2 linked regions of the Oryctolagus cuniculus genome follow. The protein of the gene in region 2 purifies or fractionates together with the protein of the main gene of each other region. This does not show direct contact. Links are inferred from orthologs where the notes say so. Each region holds a gene or a part of one and is shown on either strand. Other genes may lie near its edges. The genes, in order: PRKACB and AKAP5.

Region 1 (3,814 bases), on a different chromosome or scaffold from region 2:
TCATTGTTTAAGGTAAGCCCCAGGAACTGCATTTTTACAATATTATCTCCCAGTTAATTCTCATAATTTTTATACTATTGCATAATAGCAGAGTTATACTTAAAAACCATCTATAATAAATGAAAAATAGTTCCCTGTGCTTTGAAAGAGTGTGGGTTTTTACAAACATTTTTAGACTTCTTTTTTGGTAGATCTCTTCAAAATGTACATGCTGATTTGTTTCATATGCTGCTTGCTCTATTTGTATAGAACAAGTTTCAGTTCTCACATCTCTGAGACAAGGGAGCTCTCTCTTGACAATGGGTGAACATACTGATATTGTTGGAAAAGTTCTAAATATGTGCACATTTTCCTGGAGACTGCTCCATGTTCTAAAAGGGAATTTATGACCAAAACAAGACACTAAGGGAACAGTTTTAGTTCATTCACACAAATAATTCTCTACTTTAAGACTACTGTAGGGTGTGTCAATTGTTAAATCAACAACAGGAGTCACTGTGCACTTGCTCCCCATGTAGGACCTCTGTCCTTAATGTGTTGTACTATGAGAATTAACAGTAAAACTAGTCTTCAAACAGTACTATATACTTTGTGTGTCTGTGTGGGTGCAAACTGTTGAAATCTTTACTTAGTATAGAGTTGATCTTCTGTATATATAGATAATTAAAAATGAATCTTAATGAAGAATGGGATGGGAGAGGGAGTAGGAGATGGGATTGTTTGGGGGTGGGAGGGAAGGTATGGGGAGAAGAACTGCTATAATCCAAAAGTTATACTTAGGAAATTTATATTTATTAAATAAAAGCTTTCTATAAAAAAGACTACTATAGGGACTGTGACTTTTACTTAAAAGCATTTGAAGTTGTCATTAAACAATTTTGTTAATATAATGCCCTGCTACCTTTAAAAAATGTGAAATCAAAATAGAAATATCATGAGTTTTGGAATTTGTGTTTTATCATTTGACGTGTTTGTGTAGGTCCGATTCCCATCCCACTTCAGTTCAGATCTCAAAGATCTTCTAAGGAACCTACTGCAAGTGGATTTGACGAAACGATTTGGAAATCTAAAGAATGGTGTGAGTGACATAAAAACTCACAAATGGTTTGCCACAACAGATTGGATTGCTATTTACCAGAGGAAGGTAAGACTTTTTAAAAGTTGGTGTTTAATTATATGTAGAAGTATTTTCAACTTCACATATTAGAGTGAGAAAATGTTAATATTCTAGCTGAGTATCAAAAGCACATTTTTTGTATCTTCGTAATTGATACTTTTATAAAAGATTGAAAAAACAAAGCAGTAAAAGAATTTTAAGTGCAACATACAGAAGAAATAACAAGACCTAAACAATGTAAATGCAGTACAACCTCTATTTCTCAAAAAAGTAGTTCACTCTCCAACCATTCAGGAAACATATCTGTTAACATTGTTATTACAAATGGATATGCTATGTAGTCAAGAACAGGGTCCATAGTAATTTAAAATAATCTTTAGTTGTCATAAAAAGAATTTCATATTTTTGTATTTTTTCTATAATTGTTAGCATCAATGCAATACTTTATAATGACTGAAAGCGACTGCCTTTAACTTTTCATATTAATCCTTAAAGTATTCTTTGAAATGGGTGGTACCATTTTCTTCATTTTACTAATCAGAAAATCAACTCAGAAAGGTTACTTAATGTAAAAATCTTATAACTACTGAATGATGCCTATCTTTGATCTTGCTTTCTTCAGATTCCTATTCCCAGAGCCACATTACCCATTTAAAGTCCTTTTAACATGATCAAATGATGCTCCAAACCACTGCACAATACATTGTTTCATAAAATTTTCATATCATCTGCTTGACTTCCACATATTGACCCTTGAGGGTAGGAAGACTCTTTCTCAAAAGGCTGTTAAAAAAGAGCATAAACTCTGAGGTTCAGTCCCAGATCAACCAAGCATTATTGTTATAATCTTAAACAAATAATTTAACTTCTGTAAAGCATCAATTTAATCACCTTTAAGATGGAAGAGTAGTTTGGGGAAGAAAGATCAGACAGATTAGCCAAGCTCCCTTTGAGTTCTGGTTGAGATATGCTTCATTATAGTTCAAATTAGATAATTTGTTTAATAACAGCAAAATCTTGATTAACAAAATAGACGCTAGGATCCCTGGGTGATTTACAAATAGAAATAATCCAGTACTTTAATTTGGCCATTTGTTTTAATATCTTCTCAACTATAAGAATGCACAGCAGTGCAAAAAATAAAAAGATAGTAAATTTGAATGGTTGTCATGGTTTTTATTTTGTGATCCAGTGTTCATGAATGTGAAATAGCCAAATGAATCTAGGAGAACGATGATAAAGAGAGAGAGAGAAAGAAAGAAAGAAATGGCCTAGATGACTCAAACTGTACAGTCACTCTCTAGAGATGATTGCCCAAAAGTAGAATCCTAAATTGTTGTCTGGCTAGACATGAGGCAACTGTCTGTTTAACTCATTCTTCTAGAACAAAACAGCAGTCCCCAAAGCAATGGGTGCAAGATAATCAGCTGAAAAATAAAGATACTTGAATTTCCATTCCAATTTATTTTCACTTTATTCTTTTAAAATGTCATATTTCTGTGTTTATCTTATATTATATGGTCAACCATGTGAATAATGTATAAATAAATAACTATACAAATATTGATAATGTGTGCTAGGAACTATTTTACTGAAAGAGATAGAAATCAAAAAGATTTGGAAACCACTGACATACGTAATAGAAAGAGCTCTGATCCAGAAGTAGAAAATTATGAGTTTGAGACTTGCTTTAGCCTCCTACTAGTCATGTGATTTTGGCCAACTCTGTTTTATGATTTTTACAAATAAGAATAAAATATACCTGCTCTGCCTTCTTCATAATGTGGTACTGAAGAAGAAATGAAAAAATTGTATGTGTAATTGTAAATTCAGTAAGGATTGTGAAAATTGTGTTATTATGTTTGTAGCTTTTAAATAGTTTCCTCAAATGTTTTCATTATACCACATAATCTTTGTGAAAGACCATACTCTGAATGGTGGAAAGACAGTTTACTTTCAGGATCTGAAAGGAGAAAAACATTTAAGATTTAGCAGTTCTATAATTCCAAAAGAGATACATTTCTTTCCAACTTATGACAGTTGCACATTTATGTAGACAGATAATTAAAATAAACTTGGAAATTAAAAAAGGAAGGCAATTAAAAGAAAGTCTAAGATTTATCTGTCAGCTTCAGAAGAAAGGAATATAAAAGTGAGGATAGAAAAATAAAGTCTTTGAACATAAATAATAAAGGAAAAAACTGGAATTCTGTAATCTTAGGAGCCTACATTTTGATGCCAACAATTAATTATCCTAGGAATGTCTCAATGTTGTTATATTCCTTGAATGAAAATGATGAGTTAAACAGCAAATCTACTGTTTGCTCCTTCTTCTGATGCCAATATATTTTAGGGATTTAACGGCATTCAAAGATGCCACCAGTTATTAAGAGTGGAAATTTATTTTCCTTAGTGTTTACAAACTCTCAGGAATTTAGTTTTCCTCTTATTTTCCTCTCTATCCCAATTATGTAGGTTGAAGCTCCATTCATACCAAAGTTCAGAGGCTCTGGAGATACCAGCAACTTTGATGACTATGAAGAAGAAGATATCCGTGTCTCTATAACAGAAAAATGTGCGAAAGAATTTTGTGAATTTTAGAGAGGGATAACAAGAGGCGATCAGAGCTCACACTCAATCTTTGCACTCTGGTGAGAGACAAGGTGGAGCTGAGACCCTCCTTGTTGAAGCAGTTAC
Region 2 (4,526 bases):
AGACAGAGAGCTTCCACCTGCAGGTTCACTCCCCAGATGGCCATAAGGCCAGAGCTGAGCCAGGTGAAATCCAAGAGCCAGGAGCTTCTTCCAGGTCCTCCACATGGGTGCAGGGCCCCAAGCACTTGGACCACATTCCCAGGTGCATCAGCAGGGAGCTGAAATGGAAGTGGATCAGCCAGGACTCGAACCGGCATCTCTGTGGGATGCTAGTGTTGCAGCTGGTGCAACTCCCTACACCACCCACACAAATGCTTTATGTGTACAGATACATCTTCGGGGTACTTCTCATTCAGACTAGTGCATTGCTTAAAGGTTCAGGAACCCCATGCAAATGTAGAGCCTAGCCCATGCCAACGGTAGCACCTGCAGGGCACGGCCGTGCACTTGGCCGTGATGAGGACTGGTGCTGTACAATGTCCTCTCCTGTTGCCCACCCTCTGTCGATCCAGAGGGGCAAGGTTAAGCAGGATCTAGGGGTGTGTGAAGGGCGACGTGGGTAACGTGTAAGCATCTCAGCTGATTTGGGGGAATAAGCAATGTATAAAAGATAGGGAGCAGCCTCTGCGCCCCCTGGTCGAGTTGTCCGTGTCCGCACGGGAGCACTGCGCTCTGCTCTCTGCTCCGACTCCCGCTCTGACACAGCACACCCTGTGAGGCCCCAGAGGACGGCTCAGTGCCTGAGTCCCTGCCGCCCGCGCGAGACCCGGACCGTGCTCCCTGCTCCCTCGGCAGGCTTCCAAACAGGAAGCAGAGGTCTGAGCGCCCATTCGGCAAGGGACCGCGCTAACCTCCTTCCTCCCAAACCCACGCCAGTTTCCCTTCATAGGAAGGCGCTTCAGAATCTTCACAGGCAAAAGGAATTTAACGATGTTTATTTTGGTGCCAAAATCTTCAAAAACCGCACACATACAAGGGGGTCTTCAGCGAGTTCATGGAAAACGTATGTTATGAGAAAATTATGCGTGGCTTGAAAGCGTTTGCACCAAAATACACTTCTCTTTCAGTTCCATTTTTCCCGTTACTTTTTTTTAATGTTTATTTTTCACCTACTTGGGAAGTAGAATGACGGGGCGGGTGTGGGGGCGATATTCCATGCACCTGTTCATTCCCCAGCTACCCACAACAGCCAGGGCCCAAGCCAGGACCCCAGAACGCCATGGGGTCTCCCACCTGGGTGGCAGGGCCCCAAGCCCCTGGGCCATTACCTGCCGCCTCCCAGGTGTGCGTTGGCGGGAAGCTGCATGGCAAGCGGAGGAGCCCAGATTCCAACAGCGAGGCCCAGGGCAGCTTAACCCAAGGGGCACAACCGCCGCCCCTCCACGAACTTCTCGCAGCGGCCTGGGAACTGTCATTTTCTCTCCAGCAGACACCTCACTGCTCTGCGCAGGGTTTTCAGTTCTGCTTCTGGAAATGTGATAGCTGCCCTTCACGTTCAAGCTTGGGGCGGAGGGGGGTTGCAATGTGGGAAGAGCAATTTTTAAGACCGGGTTTGACTGCTGCTTGCCCCGTCTCCCCCGCATCTTCGGGCTCGCTCGCTCTCCCCTATGTTCTCCCGCCTTCGCCCCGCGGGGATCCGCTGCGGGGGTCCAATGGGGGGACCCGCTGCGGGGGACCGCTGCGCGGCCGGCGCACGTGGCGGGGCCCACGGCTCGCAGGCGGGGCCCCGAGCCCCGCCCCGGCGCCGCCCCCCGCCCGCTCCGAGCGCGTTGGCGCCGCTGCCTGCCTGTCCCCGCGCTGCTGGGGAGGGGGCGCTGCGGGGCCGCGGTCCCTGCGCTGCAGAGGGCTGCTGGCTGCGGGTGCGACTGTAGCTCGCCGACTGCCGGGGCGCGCCCCCGACCCCGGGAACGAGGCTGGCCGGGGACCGCTGCGCTCGGGGTAAGTGGAGGCAGGGCGGGGAGGAGGCTCCGGGGCAGTGTCCGGGAGGGTGGCCGGGCTGGCCGGCGGGGTGGGCGGGAGGTGGGCGGCGGGCGCGGGCTGCGGAGCGCCCCGAGGTGGCGGGCGCTCGTTGGTCAGCAGGAATCTGCAGCCAGGGCCGCCCCTGCCCACGCTGCCCACCCTCCCGCTTGGCGTTGCAGCGCGACCTGGAAGCCGGGGCTGCCCGGTAGCTTTTTCCTTCCTTACCGTCTTTTTTTTTTTTTTTTTTTTTTTGGTGGGGCGGGGGGAGGTAAAATGTGGTGATGGGTTCCTGGCCATTACCGTTTTGCAGCGAGCTCGAAGCTGGGTTCTCTGTTCACGCCCCCGGCATTTTCCTTTTTTGAGGACTTTATCCTGGGCTCTCTGTATCGTGCCAGAGGAGAGATTGACTCCCTGCAGGAGGAAGCGTCGAGGGCCCTGGCTGCTGCGGGGTCGTGGGTGCTCTGCTTTCTGCGGCGACGACAGCAGGGTCTCCGGAGGCTCCAGGGCGAGTCACCTGCAGAGGTCTCCTGTCTGCAGATTGAGCCCCCCCACCCACCACCCCCCACCCCGTCAGAGTGTGTGTGTGTGGCTGTTTTATTTCTGCAGTGTGATATGCATTCACCCGAGCGTCTCGAAGAAATTGTCTTTGAGAAATCCAGGTTAGTTGCAGATGACACATTCCTGAACATGATCTGACTTCAGTATTTCGATCAGGAATAACACCGTCTCCTTAATAAAAAGGCCCAGGGGCTGAGAACCCGCCAGAGGTGAGACGGCTTAGAGTTCTAACCAGCTCAGAGTCCAGCGCTTACCGCGGCATTAGGTGAGAGGGGCACCGGGAGACGTTTAGATTTGAATTCCATCGTGGTTCTAGAAGGATTCTTTCTGTTAGAGGTATGAAGGATGCAACCTAAGGGAATATTTGCTTAGGTTGTAAACGGATGTTCAGCGTTCCAGTTCTTTCTCAAGTTCATAGAATTAAGGGCTTCCTAAATGAGACACACGTGAGGGATTTGCATAAAAACAGTCTGAGGAAAGAGTCTCTTAGCTTATTTTAGGTCATATGACTTTTTTTCAAGGCCTCACTCCTTCTTTCTTGGGTGCCTGGGTAGCATTCTGTGGGTTCCTTTTCAAATGCACCTTTATGTGTACATGAAACTAATCTATTTGCTGATTGCATAGCTTGTCCGTTTATCTTAGGCTTTTTTTTTTTTTTTTTTTTTTTTTACTTAGTTGACCAAGACAGTAAAATATAAAGGATTTCAAAAGTTTGGCTTCAGAATAGCAAGAATTCGGTCTAGCCTTGGTTCGAGGCTGAGCTGATGGGCTGCGTTACGGTTAATAAAATGGCCGTTAAACACTGTTCAAGAATCTACATGAATGGTTCTGTTGCAGATTAGCCACTCCAGACAGTTGGTTTTCTGGTGAAACTCACAGAGCACCACCTCAGAGCACCAGGCTTCAGGAGCAGGCAGATCTGGACTGAATCTGAGCTCTGTTACCACTGTGCTGGGAAGTGTGGGGCCACTGCTTCATCTGTGCATGGTGAGAACGCCATCCACTCTGTAGTACGAGGAGACTTCAGAAACTATGGAAAATGCAATGAAAAGATGTTTATTTGTACACCAAAAAAAAAAAAAAAACCTTGAAATTCATGCATCATTTTGTCATTTTCATTTCCATGAAGTTTGTGAAGATCTCTTCTATATTTGTGGATTTCAATTTTTTGCACCAAACTTTTAATTTTTTACTTATTTCTTTAAAATGTTATGTGTTTGAAATGCAGAGTTGCAGAGTGAGAGAGATTTTTTTCCATCTGCTGATTCATTTCCTAAATGACTGCAATGGCTGGGCTGGGCCAGGTTGAAGCCAGGAGCCAGGAGCTTCCGGGTCTCCCATGTGGGTGGCAGAGGCCCAAGGAGTTGAGTTATTCTCCACTGCTTTCCCAGGTGCATGAGCAGGGAACTGGATTGGAAGTGGAGCAGCCAGGGCTGGAACTGGTACCCACATGGAATGCCAGCATTGCAGCCAGAGGTTTAATCCACTGCACCACAACGCCAGCCCCAAACTTATCTTTTTTAAAAAATGATTTATGAAGCAGAGACACAGAGAAAGAAGGCATGAACTTCCATCTGTTGGCTCACTTCCAAAAAGTCTGCAACGGCCAGGACTGGGTCCATTGAAGCTGAGATTTGGGAATGCAATCCAGGTCTCCTGTGTGGGTGGCAAACACTTGAACCACCACTGCAGCTTCCCAGGGTGCACATGAGCAGGAAGCTGGAGACAGGAGCCACGAAGCTGGTCTTCCAGCCCACATGGTTATCCCGAATGGTGTCCTAACCACTAGGCCAAGCCCCAGCTCCTAAACCAATCTTTTGATTTGAAGCCCTCTTACATTATAGTAGAGATTAGAGAAGTAACTATGATGCTTAGCACAGCCTAAGATGCAAAAGTTGCTCAATTACAAGGCTGGCACTGTGGCATAGCAGGTTAAGCTGCCGACTACGACACTGGCATCCCCTGCAGGCGCTGGCTTGAGTCCCTGCTGTTCCACTTCTGATCCTGCTCCCTGCTGATGTGCCTAAGAAGGAGGAAGATGGCCCGAGTGCTTGGGCCCCTGCATCCAC

The links.
Region 1: the proteins of AKAP5 (region 2) and PRKACB purify together in Homo sapiens (affinity purification with mass spectrometry; 4 studies listed by BioGRID and IntAct, counting the BioPlex papers as one, with this or other methods). This does not show direct contact. The link is inferred for Oryctolagus cuniculus from reciprocal best matches to the Homo sapiens genes AKAP5 and PRKACB.

What each region holds. Positions count from the first base shown.
Region 1 is NC_091438.1:87,045,657-87,049,470, reverse strand, and holds part of PRKACB (cAMP-dependent protein kinase catalytic subunit beta), read left to right. Parts: intron 1-979; coding exon 980-1,144; intron 1,145-3,592; coding exon 3,593-3,718; 3' UTR 3,719-3,814. UniProt on the Homo sapiens protein: Mediates cAMP-dependent signaling triggered by receptor binding to GPCRs.
Region 2 is NC_091451.1:5,986,900-5,991,425, reverse strand, and holds the start of AKAP5 (A-kinase anchor protein 5), read left to right. Parts: upstream 1-1,692; 5' UTR 1,693-1,878; intron 1,879-3,294; exon of another isoform or gene 3,295-3,444; intron 3,445-4,526. UniProt on the Homo sapiens protein: Multivalent scaffold protein that anchors the cAMP-dependent protein kinase/PKA to cytoskeletal and/or organelle-associated proteins, targeting the signal carried by cAMP to specific intracellular effectors.